4 linked regions of the Sus scrofa genome follow. The protein of the gene in region 3 binds, or shares a complex with, the protein of the main gene of each other region. Links are inferred from orthologs where the notes say so. Each region holds a gene or a part of one and is shown on either strand. Other genes may lie near its edges. The genes, in order: CORO2A, GPS2, TBL1XR1 and HDAC3.

What was found.
Region 1: TBL1XR1 (region 3) and CORO2A share a complex: the UniProt entries of both Homo sapiens proteins name them as parts of the N-Cor repressor complex. The link is inferred for Sus scrofa from reciprocal best matches to the Homo sapiens genes TBL1XR1 and CORO2A.
Region 2: TBL1XR1 (region 3) and GPS2 share a complex: the UniProt entries of both Homo sapiens proteins name them as parts of the N-Cor repressor complex. The link is inferred for Sus scrofa from reciprocal best matches to the Homo sapiens genes TBL1XR1 and GPS2.
Region 4: TBL1XR1 (region 3) and HDAC3 share a complex: the UniProt entries of both Homo sapiens proteins name them as parts of the N-Cor repressor complex. The link is inferred for Sus scrofa from reciprocal best matches to the Homo sapiens genes TBL1XR1 and HDAC3.

Annotation. Positions count from the first base shown.
Region 1 is NC_010443.5:239,997,614-240,002,307, reverse strand, and holds the start of CORO2A (coronin-2A), read left to right. Parts: upstream 1-1,343; 5' UTR 1,344-1,467; intron 1,468-4,694.
Region 2 is NC_010454.4:52,664,344-52,669,306, reverse strand, and holds GPS2 (G protein pathway suppressor 2), read left to right. Parts: upstream 1-1,663; 5' UTR 1,664-1,774; exon of another isoform or gene 1,775-1,883; intron 1,884-1,960; 5' UTR 1,961-2,029; coding exon 2,030-2,123; intron 2,124-2,495; coding exon 2,496-2,605; intron 2,606-2,682; coding exon 2,683-2,795; intron 2,796-2,930; coding exon 2,931-3,010; intron 3,011-3,097; coding exon 3,098-3,180; intron 3,181-3,355; coding exon 3,356-3,509; intron 3,510-3,616; coding exon 3,617-3,706; intron 3,707-3,812; coding exon 3,813-3,892; intron 3,893-3,978; coding exon 3,979-4,074; intron 4,075-4,247; coding exon 4,248-4,331; 3' UTR 4,332-4,438; downstream 4,439-4,963. UniProt on the Homo sapiens protein: Key regulator of inflammation, lipid metabolism and mitochondrion homeostasis that acts by inhibiting the activity of the ubiquitin-conjugating enzyme UBE2N/Ubc13, thereby inhibiting 'Lys-63'-linked ubiquitination.
Region 3 is NC_010455.5:115,485,046-115,489,844, reverse strand, and holds the start of TBL1XR1 (F-box-like/WD repeat-containing protein TBL1XR1), read left to right. Parts: upstream 1-1,616; 5' UTR 1,617-1,897; intron 1,898-2,175; exon of another isoform or gene 2,176-2,283; intron 2,284-2,547; exon of another isoform or gene 2,548-2,709; intron 2,710-2,729; exon of another isoform or gene 2,730-4,799. UniProt on the Homo sapiens protein: F-box-like protein involved in the recruitment of the ubiquitin/19S proteasome complex to nuclear receptor-regulated transcription units. Plays an essential role in transcription activation mediated by nuclear receptors.
Region 4 is NC_010444.4:143,272,383-143,275,489, reverse strand, and holds the end of HDAC3 (histone deacetylase 3), read left to right. Parts: intron 1-1,655; coding exon 1,656-1,875; 3' UTR 1,876-2,302; downstream 2,303-3,107. UniProt on the Homo sapiens protein: Histone deacetylase that catalyzes the deacetylation of lysine residues on the N-terminal part of the core histones (H2A, H2B, H3 and H4), and some other non-histone substrates.

The sequences.
Region 1 (4,694 bases), on a different chromosome or scaffold from region 3:
ACACACACGTGCAGGGAGCATCTCTAGGAAAGGTACCACCTTCTGTCTATTACAGAGGCTTCCAATGGTCTCCCCTCTGGCCCATTGGTCCTATGCCCATGTGGAACCAGAGAGGTCCCCAAACACAGTCCCAGCCGCCTATCATCATGGCAACTGCGGTGATGCATTTAAGGTGCCCAGAACAGTGCCCGGTTCTTCAGGAGTTGGGAAGATGCAGATATGAGGCTGGGAGGGAATGTCCACAAGGGTTCTGGGAAGCCTTCCTGGGGAAGGACATGGAAGGAAGAAATGAATCTGTTTAGACAGTAGACCATGATATGGGAAGAGAATTCCTGGCAGAGAGGACTGCGAACAAGGGCACAAAGATATGAGAGTGCAAATGGGTAGGAAATGCATACCATAGTTACTGGCTGAAGCCCTAGGTGAATTAAGACATTCGGGTGAATTAACACTTACTGAGCCAGGCACTGTTCTAGGCCCTGGAGATACACCACTGAACAAACAGTTGTTCTCATGAGAGACGGTGTGGTGGAGTGACTATAAGCTTGGGCTTGGGAGCCACACTGCCTAGGGTTGTACTGATACTGGTGTCATCTTAAGAAAGGTACTTAACCTCTGTGAACTTCAGATTTCTTATGTGTAAAATAGGTAAAAGCTAACCTAGTAGGTTTATGTGTCGATAAACTGCGGTGATGCATTTAAGGTGCCCAGAACAGTGCCCGGTTCTTCAGGAGTTGGGTGGTGATATTACAAAAAGGCTGGGCTTCCCCATCTCCGCCCCCACTGCCCAAGGCGGCAAGACTAAGCAGCAGCGCCCCCTCTTGGCTACCGATAGAAAGAAGGGCGTCCTCCCATACTCAGAGATCCTCCCTGCCCTCTTCCTCTCGACGTACCGGGAACCCCCAGGAATTACTCCAACAGCTCGGGTTCACCAAGCGCTACTCCTGTGGCCGTCTCTGAGTGCGCACATTACTGCGCCGGTAAATTAGATCGTCACTTCCAATTCTCAAACAACTCTGAAGCAGACACGGTTTGTTTCCACTCCACCTAAGGGTAAAGTGACCCTCCCGGAAGGATCGAATCCCTTGTCTCATACCACTCCGCGAGAAAGCGACGGGATGTGAAGGAAGGCAACCCCAGCCTCTACTCGGTCCCCGGGGAGCCCGCCCCATTCACTGCGGCGTGTGCGCGCCGCTGTGCGAGCCCTTTCTCTGTGCGAATGCGCGCCCCGAGACAAGCTCCGGGGTACCAGGAACGCGGCCCAAGGGCCGAGGAAGGAAGGGTGGCCTGGCGGACTCGCGGGCGGGGCTTGTGCTCGGCCCCGGCCCCTCCCACCGGCCCCTCCCGCTGGGCTGAGGGTGGGAGGAGGCGGCAGCGCTGGGCGCGGGGACTCGGCGGGCAGCGAGGAGCTCAGAACCAGAGCCAGACGCCGCCGCCGCTACCGCCACCTGCGCGGCCGTCATCAAGGTAGGGCGGTCCCGGGCCGCCGGGCTATGCCTTCCCCGTCTGCGCGATGTGCTCGTGCTGCGCCTCTGAGCTGCAACGCCTGGGGAGGGATGCTGGGGCTCGGCGCACCGCTGGGGACCTGGCGGGACGCGGGGAACCTGGCGTTCGACACCTCTGCGTGACCTTGCAAAAAGCACTGCTTCTCTCCAGGCCTCAGTTTCCCCATCGGGATAGCGGGCACAAGGATGGCCCCTTCGTCGCTGGGCTGTGGGGAGGGGCCGCCTCAAGCTCCAGGCTCCCGACGGCGCAGGGTCGGATGGGCACTGTCTGCACAGCCCACCCGCAGTGAGGGCTGCTCTTGCTGGGTGTGGCAAGCCGGTCCCGACAGTCCCCCCTAGTGGCCTGGGTGCCCCGCGGGACCCGTGTTGGGACTCTTCCCTCTCCTGGCTGGGTAACCTGCTGGGCCTCAGCTTCCCTGCACAGGAAACATTAATAGGCGACACCCCCAGGTCCCTGTCAAGCCAGCCTGGGCATGCAGGGTGGGGCAGTCAGAGTCTAAGCCTAGTCTTCCTCGCGGTCTGGGGCTGGAGGAGCCCTAGGTTGGAGGTGGTGGAGCCCTCTGGCACAGACTTGCCTGGACCAGACCCACGCAAGTACCTGGATTTAGGGCATGGTATGCAATGTCTCCCCACCAGGTGCTAACGCCCAAATCTAAGTCCCAGCCTGATGTGATATGGTTGGCTTGTCCATGCATAGACGGACCTAGAGGAGCTACAGTGCCAAGAGATGGTGTTTGGGTGGGGTCGGGTCTGGGACAGAGCAAATGTCTGAGAGACTGTGGCTCCAAGATTTCTGGGTAAAGACGACCTCTGGTGTCTGTCCTGGCCCCTTGGTAAGATCCCTCTGGACCATCTCACTGCCCCACTGCACACCCCTTATGATGGGAATCTCACTCGCTGTAAACAGAGCTAGAGTCTGCTAGTCCTGCTCTGGCACACAGACAACATCTGACCCCTCCATCCCCACCCCAGGGCAATTATCTGGTCCCTTAAATCAGTTCACCTCAGGGTTAAACAGCCCCAGATCCAGAGCTGTTTCTCCTGTCAGAGCCAAAGGGAGCAAAGGCAAGACAAGAGAGCTGAGGTGTCTGCCCTGGAGCAGTTAGTAGTCAGCCTGAGGCTTGTTCAGAACCCACCTTCATCAGGACTGGAATGTGTCCCCTGTACCTCTGGAAAGGTAGCTGCCTTAGAGGTCTGGAGTGAGAGGAGGAGCCAGAGGAGCCTCTCTCCAGCCCTTCCAGCCCAAGGGTCCCTGTCTTCTGTTGCCTGCTCTGATTGAAGGAGTAGTTTCTGAAAATCGAGCCTGGGCTTTCTCGATTGTACCCCCTCCTGACCTGCCCCTCACCTGGGAACTTTCCTACAGCCAAAAGAAGGGGCTGCCAGGATAGGTGATAAGCTCTGTGTCATCAGAGATGTGAGCAAAGGCTGGATGAGCACTTCCCAGGGTTACACTTGACTGTAAGTCTGGGACTCTTAAGGCCAAAATAGAGTAACCAGGGCCTTACCTTCTGGCCATGATGGAGCTGCACAACTTGAAGCTAGACCACAAATGAGTGTTATTATTCTCTCATAAAAGCAGGCTAAGTATATGTGCTATCACCCGAGCGTAGCTCCAATGCACAGGCTTAAGTGCTACCTATGTCTCCCATCATCACTACATGTGTATAATCTGGGCTCTTTTTTCCTGCTCTGCTAGTCCGAGCCATTTGGGCCTTGATTTAGAGGTATGGCAGATTGTGGTTATTAAAAAGTCATCCTGTGCCAATAATTAAAAAATGCACCATGAAATTATGGAATATCCAGCTAAAACAGATCTTAGGAAATCATCTCATCCAACCTCTTCATTTTACAGATAGGTATCCCCTAAGGGGATGTGACTTGTTAAAAGTCACCCAGCAGACAAGCAACCAAGCCCAGGGATCTTAATTCCAGGACCAGAGTGAGTGAGTGAGTGAGTGAGTGAGTGTGAGTGTGAGTGTGTGTGTGTGTGTTTGCTTGTTTGAAAACACATACCATATAGTAAACGAAAGCAATCAGTATTTATTCCTATAAAATTAATAAAAATAAATATAAAAGGATAAATCTCTATGCTGGCAAAGCTATAGGATTCTCCAGCAGCATTTAATTTTGCAGGGCTATCTGTCAGCTCGTTTCAAAAGTCCTATGACAAAGATCCTAACTTCCTTTGCCCCTAGCCTTCTACTTTGAGGACTTTACCCTAAGGAAGTAATTACAGAGTTGAGTGTAGTGCTATTATTTTCTAAAGAAGTTATAGTGAAGAGGTTCTTGGTGTTTTACCTGAGGATTAATAAACTTTTCATTTAAAAAATACAGCTTTAAAAATAGAAACATTAGGAGCTCCCGCTATGGCACAACAGGATCATCAGCCTCGTGGGAGCTCTGGGACTGGGGTTCAATCCCCAGCCCAGCACAGGAGGTTAAGGATCTGGCATTGCTGAAGCTGTGGCTTAGGCCTTAACTACGGCTTGGATCTGATCCCTGGCACTAGAGCTCCGTATGTCTTGGGGCAGCCAAAAATGGGGCGGTGGGGGGCACGGGGTGACACCAAAGCTTCCATTGCTGTAGTCTGGCCAGCACAGGAGCAGTGTGGTCCAGAGGAAAAGCCATGAGACTCATGTCAGCAGATGTAGATTCCAGGATGAACTCTTCCTCCATCCCACCGTGTAAGCTTATGGCAATCCCAGGCCCTTTCTGTACCTCATTTCCCCTATCTGTGAAATGGGGTAGATTCAGTGCTGAGTTTCTTTTAGTTCTGACAACCCACATTCTAGACTTAGCAAATCTCTGTAACAGAAGCCTTTATTAGAAGGAACAGGAGTTCCTGTCATGGCGCAGTGGTTAACGAATCTGACTAGGAACCATGAGGTTGTGGGTTCGATCCCCGGCCTTGCTCAGTGGATTAAGGATCTGGCATTACCATGAGCTGTGGTGTAGGTCATAGACGCAGCTCAGATCCCACGTTGCTGTGGCTCTGGCGTAGGCCGGCGGCTACAGCTCTGATTCAACCCCTAGCCTGGGAACCTCCATATGCCGCAGGAGCAGCCCTAGGAAAGGCAAAAAGACAAAAAAAAAAAAAAAAAAAGAAGAAGAAGGAACAGTGAAAGCAGGGATAACCAAAGAATGTTCTAGCCTCTGACCACCACCCCCCCATCATTAAATGAATCCTGT
Region 2 (4,963 bases), on a different chromosome or scaffold from region 3:
CCTGGGAGGGGCCCAGGGCTGCTCAGATCTGGTGTTACCCTCCTTCCCAGCCCATCTCCACCCAGCCCTCACACAGTCTTTGAACAAAGACCTCTTACTTGGTCCTATCACACAGAACAAAAAAGGGAACCCTAGCCACGTGGAACTTCTGCCCTCTCTTGCTCTGGAGTGTTTGTGCCTAATGAGTGTTTAGTAGTTAGTATCTTTGAAGGTGACATGTAAATACTATGGAAACAAAATGTAGAGTGGAGTGAGGTGGATCAGAAGCGTGGCAGGACCCGGCCTATGAAATAGGGTAGTGGCGGCAGACGTCATTAAGAAGGTGGGATTTGGAGTTCCCGTCGTGACTCAGTGGTTAATGAATCCGACTAGGAACCGTGAGGTTTCGGGTTCCATCCCTGGCCTTGCTCAGTGGGTTAAGGATCCGGCGTTGCCGTGAGCTGTGGTGTAGGTTGCAGATGTGGCTCGGATCCCACTTGCTGTGGCTCTGGCGTAGGCCGGTGGCTACAGCTCTAATTAGACCCCTAGCCTGGGAATCTCCTTATGCCATGGGAACGGGCCTAAAAAAAGAAGAAGGTGGGATTTGAGCAAAGGCCTGGAGAGGGGAGGGGAGGGAGCGAGGGGAGCGGGCATGGGAGGAAGACCCTTGGGAGGAAAGGGCGGAGCCAAGTCCCAGTAAGGAGGGGCTGATGCCTGGCAACAGCAAGGCCAGCTGCTCAGGCTCGCGGTCACCGTCAGGGCGGTGGTTGCAGCCAGCAAGAGCGAGGGGTACTGGGAGCAGAGGCCTCACTGTCCCGTTTCTGCTTCTTGCCTGCCAGATTCCGGGACCCCAAATCCCAGCGGACGCACCAGGCCCAGGTGGCGTTCCAGGTGTGCGTGCGCCCTGGCTCCTACACCCCCGGGCCCCCTTCTGCTGCCCTCAGAGAGCCTCCCGACCCTCACTTCAGCCCAGCTGAACTCGAGTGGGTGACCAAGGAGAAGGGGGCCACGCTCCTCTATGCCCTGCTGGTACGGGTGGAATGAGGGGTGACACCGCACTACGACAAGCACAGCAGGGCCTTGGGCCCGTGGACTCTGAGTGACGACTGCCTCCACCTCATTCCAGTGACGCGCGGCATGCACGGTGCTCAGCCTGGCAGATGCACAGGAGCATGTAGGCGGGCTCGCAGAGGAGCGCCCGGGGCCGGGACTGGACAGCCCCTCGAGGCGAGGGCGGCGAGGGGTCCGGCCGCCGGCCCTGGGGAACCCTCTCCATGCACTGATCTGGGGAGCGCGCCTCCCCGCCACTCCTCCCCCTACACTTAATTTATTTCCGTTTCTGTTCCTGGTTACTGTGAAGGCCAGAGGCGCCTCCCCGCGCCCCACACGAAGCTGCTTTTCCGGGCCGGGCGGGAGTGGGGAAGGCGGGCGCGGGTCGGGGCCTCTGTACAGTTGTTACTGACTCTGATTTCTAAGGAGCCAATAAACGCCGTCTCAGAGCAGCCGCCTTGGCCTCTCGCGCGCGCGCCTCTCGGTCCCCCCCGCCCCGACCCGGGAGGAGACCCGGCCCCGCCACGTCAGGGGCTCCGCCCTCGGGGTCGACGCCGGGCGGGGCGCAGCGGAGGCGTTTGGACGCCGCGGGCACCCGTCGCCCGCGCTTCCGCCTTCCCGCCCCGCCCCGCCGGCCCGCGAGCGCCGCGACAGCCTCGACTCCGGAAGGATTCGGCCCAGCGGCCGGATGTGACGCCACGGCCCAGGCGCTCGGGAGGCCGCGGAGAAAGCGACGAGAAGACGGGTAGGGAGGGGCCGGCGCCCGGGTAGCGGGCAGGGAGCGGGAGCGCCGAGGCCGAGACCCCCGCCCGCGCTCGCGGAGGAGCCGCGCTGTTAGGCCGGCCCGGCGGCAGGCACGTGACCGGGGCGGCGGGCGAGTGGCTTCCGCCCCGGCCTGGTCCGCTCCCTCTGAGCGCCCGCCTCCCCGCAGGCCCGGTCTGAGGTCTGGCAGCCAGTGACAGAGCCGGGCGTCCACGGCCCGAGCGCCCCCAGCAGCACCATGCCTGCGCTCCTGGAGCGCCCCAAGCTTTCCAACGCCATGGCCAGGGCGTTGCACCGGCACATCATGATGGAGCGGGAGCGCAAGCGGCAGGGTGAGCTGGGGCCAGAGCGGGAGGACGCACGGCCCGGGGCGCGCTGCTCTCCCGGGGCTGACCCCGACCTACGGGCAGACCCTGCGCGGCGGCCACAGCTAGAGGAGGGACCGATAGCCCCGACGTGGCGGGAGTCTGAGGCCAGATCTAAACTCCAGAACCGTGAGCTGGCAAGGACCTTGGAGAGCACCTAACAAACTTCCCTGTCCCCAGTGTCCTCTTGCAGTGGTGGGCAAACCTGTTTCTTTTAGAGGGAAAGAGTTCGTACCAAGTGTAGTGGGATACCAGTTTTTGCTGGCTTTCAATCGCTAACATTCTAATCTTTTAACCACTCTGCCACTTCCCCATTCTGCCTGACTCTGACTCTTCCAGAGGAAGAAGAGGTGGACAAGATGATGGAACAAAAGATGAAGGAAGAGCAGGAGAGAAGGAAAAAAAAGGAAATGGAAGAGAGAATGTCACTAGAGGAGACCAAGGAACAAGTAAGCAGTCCCTTGATCTCTCCCCAGCCCTTTCTGCCCTTGGCTCTCTTGCTTTCATCCCTCTCCTTCCTTCCCAGATCCTGAAGTTGCAGGAGAAGCTTTCGGCCCTCCAGGAAGAGAAGCACCAGCTTTTCCTGCAGCTCAAGAAAGTTTTACATGAGGAAGAAAAACGGAGGCGGAAGGAGCAGAGGTGAGATTGGGCAGCTAAAAATAAAATTGGGGCCCAAAGTCTAACTGGGATCAGGTAACAAGAGATCAAGTTTTTTGCGGGAGCGGAGAGGGGAAAAGGCTTGCCTTTGATCTGATGTGCCTGCCTCTTGTTCAGTGACCTGACCACTCTGACATCGGCAGCATACCAGCAAGGCCTGACTGTTCACACAGGAACTCACCTCCTCAGCATGCAGGGTGAGGATTAAAGAAACCACTTGTCAGATGGGCCTTCCTGGGGGTTGCAGCCTCTTCTTGCAGCATCACAAGCCCGTCTCCCTCTAGGGAGCCCCGGAGGACACAATCGGCCAGGCACCCTCATGGCAGCTGACAGAGCCAAACAGATGTTCGGCCCCCAAGTGCTTACAGTAAGAGCAGGAGGACTGGGTATCTAGGCTGTCATTTACTCCCGCTACTTCCAGCCGGCCTCGCATCCTTACCCAACCAGCATTCAAGTCATGAGTGTGTTGGGGAAATGGGGCTTTCAGTCACTCAAGTTTTTGCTTCATGGAGTTTACAGTGGTTCTCGTCCTCCCTCCTTAGAACCGACACTACGTGGGCTCAGCAGCTGCTTTCGCAGGGACCCCGGAGCATGGGCAGTTCCAAGGCAGCCCCGGCGGCGCCTATGGGACTGCTCAGCCCCCACCTCACTATGGACCCACCCAGCCTGCCTATAGTCCTAGTCAGCAGCTCAGAGGTGAGCCTTGGGCAAAGGGGAGGAGGGGCATTCCTCAAGGCTCTAAGGGAGGAGTGTTGTGAACAGGCTACCAGGAGGTCCTAATGGCTGTCTCCTGCCTTCCTCAGCACCTTCGGCATTTCCTGCAGTGCAGTACCTGTCTCAGCCACAGCCACAGCCCTATGCTGTGCACAGCCACTTTCAGCCCACCCAGACAGGTGATGGTAGACAGACACCACGCAGGGGCCCAGTTCCAGCGGTCCTCCTCCCTTCCTCTTCGCCTCCTTTCTCTACTCACCTCACACACCCTTCCTCCCCACCTAGGCTTCCTCCAGCCCGGTGGCGCCCTGTCCTTACAAAAGCAGATGGAACACGCTAACCAACAAACTGGCTTCTCTGACTCAGTGAGTAAAATCTTGGGAAGTCAGGGGAAGGGCTGCCCACACTAAGGGGAGCCCCAGGCTGCCTCAGCTGACTTTGTTCTCTGCAGTCCTCCCTACGCCCCATGCATCCCCAAGCTCTGCATCCAGCCCCTGGACTGCTTGCCTCACCCCAGCTCCCTGTGCAGATGCAACCAGCAGGAAAGGTAAGCCCACCAGAATGCCTACATCACCAAGTTGAAAAAAGGACTGGGTAGGACAGGTGGTCCCTGCCCCCCTTTTTCCCTCCTCCTCTGCCATGGCTGTCAGTCCCCTGCGGGAGTAGAAGGAAGGGGAAGGGCGCGCACTGACAAAGCCCTCCTCTCATTACTGCTGCCAGTCGGGCTTTGCAACCACCAGCCAGCCTGGCCCTCGGCTCCCCTTCATCCAGCACAGCCAGAACCCGCGATTCTACCACAAGTGACCATCAGAGTCTATCAACCTCGCTCCCAGCCCCTGCCCCCTACTGTGGGGGAGGATCCCTGGTGTGCCTCAGTCCCAGGCCAATAAAATCTACCTGCCACTGCCCCCGATGCTGCTACTGTCTGTGTTACCTCCCACTGGGCTGCCTGGGGTGGGGGTGGGGGTGGGAGTGGGCGGCAGGTCCGCAGGACGCAGGAATCACAGTGGGACAGCAGATTACCAATCACTTTCTCATTTCCACATTGACTTCCCGGTCAGCAAATACCATTTAATTCAAAGAAGCAGCTGAGTTGGGGGCTTCATATTAAACTTGTAGTTTTATTCAGGTTTGATTTTTAACAAATGTGTCGGGGAGAGAGCCCGCAGGAAAGGGTGAAGCCCATGGGGGGCAGGGCCCTCCCAGATGCCTGAGGAGGGGGCAGGTCCCCTCCCCTCTCCTCCTCTTCCCTCCCATCTAAAGGGACTTGGGGAGAGACATCAGCAGGGGAGGGGGCTGGTCCCCAGTCTGTTGGGGTGGTGCTTGGGATAAAGGGCTATGGGGGAGTAAGGGACCAGACCAGGGACGAGTGTGGGAAGGGCACAAGGACCATTTGCCAGAATCCACAGCTTTCTGATTCCAGGTTGAATTAAAAA
Region 3 (4,799 bases):
AAAAAAAAAAAAAAAAAAAAAAAAAAAAAAGGGCTCATCAGGGGCAGGAGCCTTTGACTTTGCTCAAAAAAAAAACACCTGTCTCATCACTGAGCTTATTAGGCCACCCAGAGTCCAGATGTGTAAAAGTTACTTGGAATGAACTTTTTTTTTAAGTATGAAAATTTAGGTCTCTGATACTGAGAGAAAAAGACTATTGCTTTAAAATAATGACTACACCAATTTCCAAATATTGTGATTAAAGTACGAAAACAGAACACCTCACCTAAAAAGGCTGTGAAAATGTTATTTTACTTTAAAGACAGGAATAACCGAAAGTAACAATAAAAAGGTTTCTTCTAGGCCTAATCTTAAGAGTAAGCTGCTTGTTATACACTAGGCTCATACAAAGGTCTTAGAAGACCCCAAGCCCTGATTTTGAGGACTTTAGAAAGATAAACGCATTTGTTTAAAAAAAAAAATGTGGCTTGCTTCCCTTTTTTTAAATAACCCCTTGCATTCCCTTTCTCATATTGTCACATCATCACTCATCTAAGTTACACTGTATAAACCGCCTTGATATGCTACACACATGCAAAAGTACACAAAGTGGATAAACTTGTACTGCCGATGCTGCCTTAGAAGTATGTATTTAGTAAACATTTAGTTACATTATTTTATTTTTGTGAAAAGCGAATTGATCGACCAAACCTTTCAAACAGACCCACCAGACGATAAATACCACCATATGTTTAATTCACTGTACATTTGGGCATAAACACTTCAATTACAGCTTTGTGTTTAGTATCAAAACCCTTTTCTTGTGTGCGTGTTTTCTGTACAGTTCCTGTGCTCTGGATTACATTTTGAGAATCGCTTATTACAGATAAAGCACCTTTCCAGGTACGCTTCCGAGAAACATATGTATTTATGCACACAAAGGTGCGTGCAGATCTTCTCACAAACACATGTCCATATGATGCCTGCGCCGTACTCTCCGCACACGCTCCCTGCGTGCGTTATGGCCCACCTGCCGCACCGCGCCGTCCGGGTGCCCGGGGGCCACGCCGGCCTACCCAGGAAAGTTTACCAGCAATGCCCCCCTCGCGACGGCGCGAGCATCCCCGCCCCCACAGGGCCTTGAGCCGCGCGGCCAACACCCAGGCCTCTCCGCACCCGGCCGCGCGCCGCGGTGGGGGCGGGGCGGTCCGGGCCCGGTGGCGCCTCGGGGCGCCTGCGGGTCTTTCTTTCTTTTTAAAAGGCTGCGCCGAACCCGCCCAGCCCCCCCAGCGCCACCGCCCCGGGCGGGCGGGGAGAGGAGCGGGGCCAGCAGAGGCCCCCCTAGCCGCGCCGCCACCGCCTCCCCGCGTCCGCGGCGCCCCTCCCCCGCCGGCCCCTCCCCGCGCGCCCGCCCGGCGCAGGCCGCTCGGGTTTGTTTTGCTGCGCGGCCGCCGCCGCCGCCGCCGCCGCCGCCGCCGCGGGCCTCGCGAGCTCATTTGTGCCTGGCTGGTCCCCATTCCTCTCTCCCCAGTGTTGAGTGTCTGAGCCGTTGGCTGCTCCGAACCGTTTGGCTCTTTCCCTTAGTAACAGCTTTTACCTTCTGCCTCAATTCCTCTCCCCGCTCGCGCCCTTCCCCCGCGCGCCGCCTCCCCCCGCCGCCGGCCGCGTGCGCCCCCGCCCCTCCCCCCGCGGCGGGAGCACCTCCGCTCGCCACCTGGGGACCCGCGCCGCGCTCCCCGCCCCCGCCCGCCCGGCGCCCATCCCCCGCGCCCTCCGCTTGCCGGGGTTATAATTGCCTCTCACCCCCCGGAGGGGTTATTTTGGGGGTGGTTGGAGGCGGCGGCGGCGGCGACGAGGGGAATTTCCTTGTGCCTCCATTCCCGGGAGGGGGGAGCGCGTCGGAGGCCACCGTTTCCAGGTAAGCGCCGGGGGCCGGACCCCGGGGTGGGGGCTGCGGGCCGGGGCGGGGGGCGCGGGCGGAGGTAGTTCGGGGGCGCCGGCCGGCGGGGGGATGGGCTCAAGTGGAACGTGCATTTTCAACTTGGCCCTTCGGGGAGCTGGGGGTTTGGTGGGGGAGGGAGAGAAAGGAAAGGCATTTAGGGTGCCCCATCCCCCCTTTTAGCTCTCTCAGGCTTCTTTGAAATGCTCACGTGCCTGCCCACCCCCTACCCTTTCCTGGTCCCGGGGGATCCTCACCCTTATTATGCTGTTGTCCCCGAAAATGTGCACCTCGGCCTTCTCCCCATCTTCCACCCTTCATCCGTTTACACCCCCTTTGTGTGTGAGTGTGTGTGTGTGTGTGTGTGTGTGTGTGTGTGTGTTGTATAGGGGGAGGCTTTCAGGAAGGAATGTGCAGCAAATTGAATCAAGGAGCCATCATGAGGCCGACTCCTTTATAGCCTATTTTTAGCAGGGGAGAGGGATCTCTACTGTGCGTGTTATTTTGTTAAACCTTAGGCAGCAATGGAAATCCGCTCCCCTCCCCCGGCGCGGCCCGGGCCCAGGCGCGGCGACCCCGGCCGGCGTGCGGGGGGCTGCGGGTGGCTGTTAGGGCCGTGCGTCCCGGGCGGGGGCGCGGGCGGGGGAGGGGCGCGCGGCGGCGGGGCCGCACTCCTGGACGTGTTTGTTTGTAACTTAGTGCTTTTTATCGTCTGGAGAAGATATTTGATAGAGCCACTTTGAAGTTGGGTTCAGAAGTGTAGAATTGGCAAAGTTATTGCCAGCTTCCTGGTAAGTTTTGGGTGGCTCAGAGTCACATTATTTTCTGACAGTGTAAAGGCCACGTTGTGAGGGTGGTTTCTTGGTAACTTCCTCTTTGCAACCGATGTCATTTTTTGAACAGAAACAGACTTTTATTTAAGTGAAATATTAATCTGAAATGGCAGTTCAAGGGAAGCCATGCATGTGTTAACGTGTTCAGTATTTTTGGAAGTTCCTAATTTGCTCAAACAGGCATCACTTTGCAGTGGCAACCGAGAATAAATTTAGGTTTGTGAAAATGGTGTTTCACGTGAAATTTTGGTTGTAATGGCTCTTAAAAAACCCTCCCGTTTTTAGGTTATCTAATAACATTGTCGAAAATAATTTGGTGATTAAAATTTACAAAAGTGTTGGAACCTAGTTTAAAACTTGCTCTTTCTCAGTGTCCGGAGTTTACTTAAAACCGTGTACTGTGCAGGCACCAAGGTGAAGAGTTTTAGTACATATGTGATTTTACAGTTGACTGAGGGAAGTTGACTATTGGCTTTCTTGTTTTCCAAACAAGACCCTTATGCTAATCTAAACAAGCTTGTTAATAAAATATGGTGGGTGAAATGATGGGTTATTTTTAGTCGGAATGGTTTGATTTCCCCTCCCCCATATAATCACCCCCCCTTCCCCCGTTTTTCTTAAAGACTCCTTTATCGGATATAAGGCCCTGGTGGTGTTTTCATTTACTTACCTAAAGAAATTGTAATATATATCTTGGTTACACATTGGAAGTACAATGGGTGACTTTTTTGTTTTCCCAATGTGGTTTATTTTCATTTTTGTTAAATAAGATCCATGTTGCTTGGTGTATTTTTGTAATCTTGACTTACTGGGACTGTATGTTCTCACCATTTATAACAAGTTTATAGTCTAGGGAAATAGGGCAGCTTTGTCTCCATGAAAACAGTGTGTAGGGTTGTATCGTGGGAGTTCATGGCAAGCAAGTTTCGGAAATTATCATTGAGCACGTTCTAGAAATAGTTAGCATTTACCTGTGGAGGAGGGGCAGCAGAAGGAGAATAGGCCTGAGAGTGGTTAGGCTCGTGATTCCTGTTTATACTTTTTGCTCTTAAATCAGGTTTTTCTGCTTCTTTGGAATATGATGTTTTGTCCATTTCTGCTGTCATGTACTGTGTGATATATGTAATCATAACCATTAAGTCCATACATAGATAATTACTATTTTTTGCCATTTGAGTAGTTAAAATCAGACCTAGAGGACAAAATACTAAGCTGTGTGGGGGATGAAAATAGTATGCACATTGAAAAAAGTTTTTTTTTTTTTTTATTGTTAAGGAACTTAATTAAGGGACTTACTAATGGCATAAAAATTGTTTCATAGCTCATCACCAGTTTATGATTTTTCTTCCAGCATATATCAACTTTGGTTATTAATATGGGAGACACCCTTGGTAAATGGAATGGCCCCTTTTGAAGGTTGTATTTTTTAATTGGTTGCTTCAAAGAAGTGTTAAATATTTAATAACTTTTACGTATTCTCAACATCTCAATATCAAATTAAGATTTGTCATGATTACTGTGATACATTCCTACCAAGAGATCACTGCTTCCTCTGTACTGGGGGCCTATCAAGCAGATGGGGTAGAAGCTTAACACACAGGGGTTACTGGTAAATAGAAATATGACTGATGGACCTTTTGAATGGCAACCTGTTGAATGAATAATCGGTTTTTATATGGCAGTGAAATATAAGTACCACTTTATCAAATAAGTAGCTGACAGGACTCCTCCTCCAATTTACTCCAGCAATTATTACTACAAAGAATTTTTGACTTGATGCATTTTGATGAAGTTAGTATAAATAATTTGTTGGGTTTGTTCAGTTTCTGTGTTATTTATATAAAAAGAATTGAGAAGAATGTGACTAGTAAGGAAGTCAGAGGAGAGGACGGCAAAAATATTGGCACTGTCTGGGACTTTGTATTTTTCTAGTACATAGAATTTGACTCATTTCATAAATGACATTTAAAGTATAAGTCAATGAAATGCAAAAGAAGAAAGCAGCTAACATTGAGACAGTTATAAATATACATAGTATTGAAGGGCTA
Region 4 (3,107 bases), on a different chromosome or scaffold from region 3:
GGATTCATTTTTGCTGCACCACAATGGGAACTCCCTGAGTTTGTTGTTTGTTTTTTCATCTGTAGTTCCAGGCTGGTATCTGGGTCTCGTCTCTGCACTGTGCACAGTCCTCTCTTAACAGCCAGTAGAAGCCTCGAGCCTTTTCCTGTCCTAAGCCCTGGTCACTGTCAGATTACCCACTGAGCTCCTTTTCTTTGCTACCTGGAGCTCCATTTGCAGAATCGTACTGAGAGTTACCACTTTTTGTGGGTTTGCTAAGCAGAGGAGTGAGTGCTTTATATTAAAGTACAGGTGATACATGTCGTCGTGTCCTCATTCTCTTGCCATCAGACAACCCTAAGAGGTTGTATCCTCCTTAAATTACCAGAAGAGGAGGTTACATAACTGACTTAACAGAGGTCCCACAGCTAGTCAGGTAAATATCAGGGCTGAGATGCAAAGCTGAGTCTCTGAGCCTCACCTTATAACCCTGGTGCCCTTAGAGGTCCCTCAGACTTTGCTTTCCAGGCAGAGGGGGCCTTTCCTGCTTGGGTCCCCAGCTTCTCTTTGATGCCTTTCTCCCTTCTTTCTCGCTTACCAGCTGTGGGCAAGATAATTCCATTATTAGTCATTCCCGTTCTCCCAGAGGGCAGTTTTCCACACGCACGAGAACGGCGTTGAATACTCATTGGGCCTTGCATTGCTTTCACGCTCCTTTGCTCTCTAGAGGTTTATTGGATGCCATGCCTCTGTTTAAAGCGCTTCTTTCCATTGCACTAGAAGAAAAGCCAAGTTTCCTTTGTTTTTTTTTTTGGTCTTTTTGCCATTTTCTAGGGCCACACCCATGGCATATGGAGGTTCCCAGGCTAAGGGGTGGAATCGGAGCTGTAGCCATCAGGCTACACACCACAGCCACAGCAATGCAGAATCCGAGCCGCGTCTGCAACCTACACCACAGCTCACAGCAACGCCGGGATCGAACCCACAGCCTCATGGTTCCTAGTCGGATTCATGAACCGCTGAGCCACGACGGGAACTCCTAAAGCCACGTTTCTGATGGTGGCTTTCTAAGGACTTGCGTGCTGGCCCTTCCCACGTGCGGGCTCCTCTCTGAGGCCCCTCCGCCCTCCACACGTCTGACCGTCCTGACCCCCTTCTCTTGCTGGAACCCGTCCGCTCCGTCGGCCTTCGAACCTCTGTACTGGTGTCCTCACGGGTTGGACCGCCCTTCCTGGGCGGCTCCTTCGCAGGGGAAGGTCCTCCCTTCTTCCTCCAGCCTTTCCTGACAATCCTGCCTGAGGTTTTCCCCTCGTCCTCCCACACTCCCAGCCACGTGCTTTCCCCCCTGAAATGACCGTGGTTATGTTTTTACTTTGTTACTTATCGTCAGCCTCGTTTATTGGAGGGGTTTTTGAGGCTAGGCAGCCATTCTGTCTGGCTTGCTCTCTGCTCTCTGGCTATGGCAGTGCCTGGCACAGAGTGCTCTCTCAGCAGGTGTTTATGGATGCATGAATGGGCGTGTGAATCCTGACTGGTCGCTACGAGCAGGAGGAGAGGCGCGGTTCCCCGACAGCGGGGGCCTGGGAAGTGGCTCCAGAGAGGGTGCCTGTGGGGGAGAAGATGGGAATTGGAGAGTGGGAGCCTGACCTCTCTTCCTGTCTTTCCTTGCTTTGTAGGCCGGAGGCGCCCAATGAGTTCTATGACGGAGACCATGACAATGACAAGGAAAGCGATGTGGAATTTAAGACTGACTGGGCTTGCCGTGTCCCCAGGAATTTCTTTTTTCCTCTTAGTTGGGTGGGAGGGAAAGGTGTGACTCCCCTACCCCTGGTCTGGTTACTTTCAGGGCAGTTACCAACACCGGGGGAGGCTTTGGAGACCACCTCTGGTTCTTGAACCAGCTGTTCCCTTTCTTCTCCCTCCAAGGCTAGACCACGGTACCTGTTAGGGATCGGATGGGGATAAGGATAGACGTCTCTAGGACCTCTCGGGCCGTGGGCCCTAGAGGCCAGTCCCAGCCCTTCTGGCTTCCTCATTCCTTCTCTGCTTCCCTCCAACCCAGAGACTTTGGGGATGAAGGAATAGGCAGCAGTACGGTTGCTTCTGACGTCCACCTCCCCAGGCTTCTCCTACTGCAAGCCTTGCTTCCAGGTGAAGAGTAAGGGATTTTAGGGAGCCCTGGCCCCCTAATACTTTAACCCAGATAATGGGAAGTGTGACTTGGAAAGGGGGGAGGATATGAAAATGTCCTGCTCTAACTTTTGGCTTTATGTCCATTTTACCACTGTTTTTATCCAATAAACCGAGTTGGTATTTTTTGTACCTTTTGCCTTCTGGGAATGTTTTTTTATTTTTTGGCTTTTTTGCATTTTCTAGAGCCGCTCCTGAGGCATAGGGAGGTTCCCAGGCTAGGGGTCTAATCGGAGCTGTAGCCACCGGCCTACGCCAGAGCCACAGCAGTGCGGGATCTGAGCCGCGTCTGCAACTACACCACAGCTCACGGCAGCGCCAGATCCTTAACCCAATGAGCAAGGCCAGGGATCGAACCTGCAACCTCATGGTTCCTAGTCGGATTCGTAAACCACTGCACCACGACGGGAACTCCGTGGGAATGTTCTTAATTCTTGCTAGCTGTCTGTGCACGAAGAGCGAGGAGATGGGTTAATATGTATATAATAAAAATCATGGTAAACATTCATTCTGCACGTACGTTACCTTAGGACATGTGTATATTATTCCATGTGGATGATCTTCCTTGTATGTGGAGGGTTAACAGAGCATTCTAGTCAAGAGTTAGACAAACCTGGGCAGAGCAGTTACTTGAGGAGGAGTCGATTCAGGTGTTGGACGCTAGGTGTTGGGAATGGTGATGCTGATTGCTGAACGAGCACTGAGAGGAAACATGCCAGGTCCTGAGCCTGCTGTAAGCAGTTGCTCATTATCTTCATTGTCTTTGTGAAAAATGATGCCAAATACTGTGGTAGCCACAAACACGGACTCTTCCCTGGAGGCGTTTCCAGTCCAGCAGGGAGTGAGATAAATGCTGTGGTAGGTGTAGACGGGGGACAAGAAAGAAGAGTCATAGTTGGATCACTTCGGCCATGCTTTGATTCTGTCTGTTTCTCAAC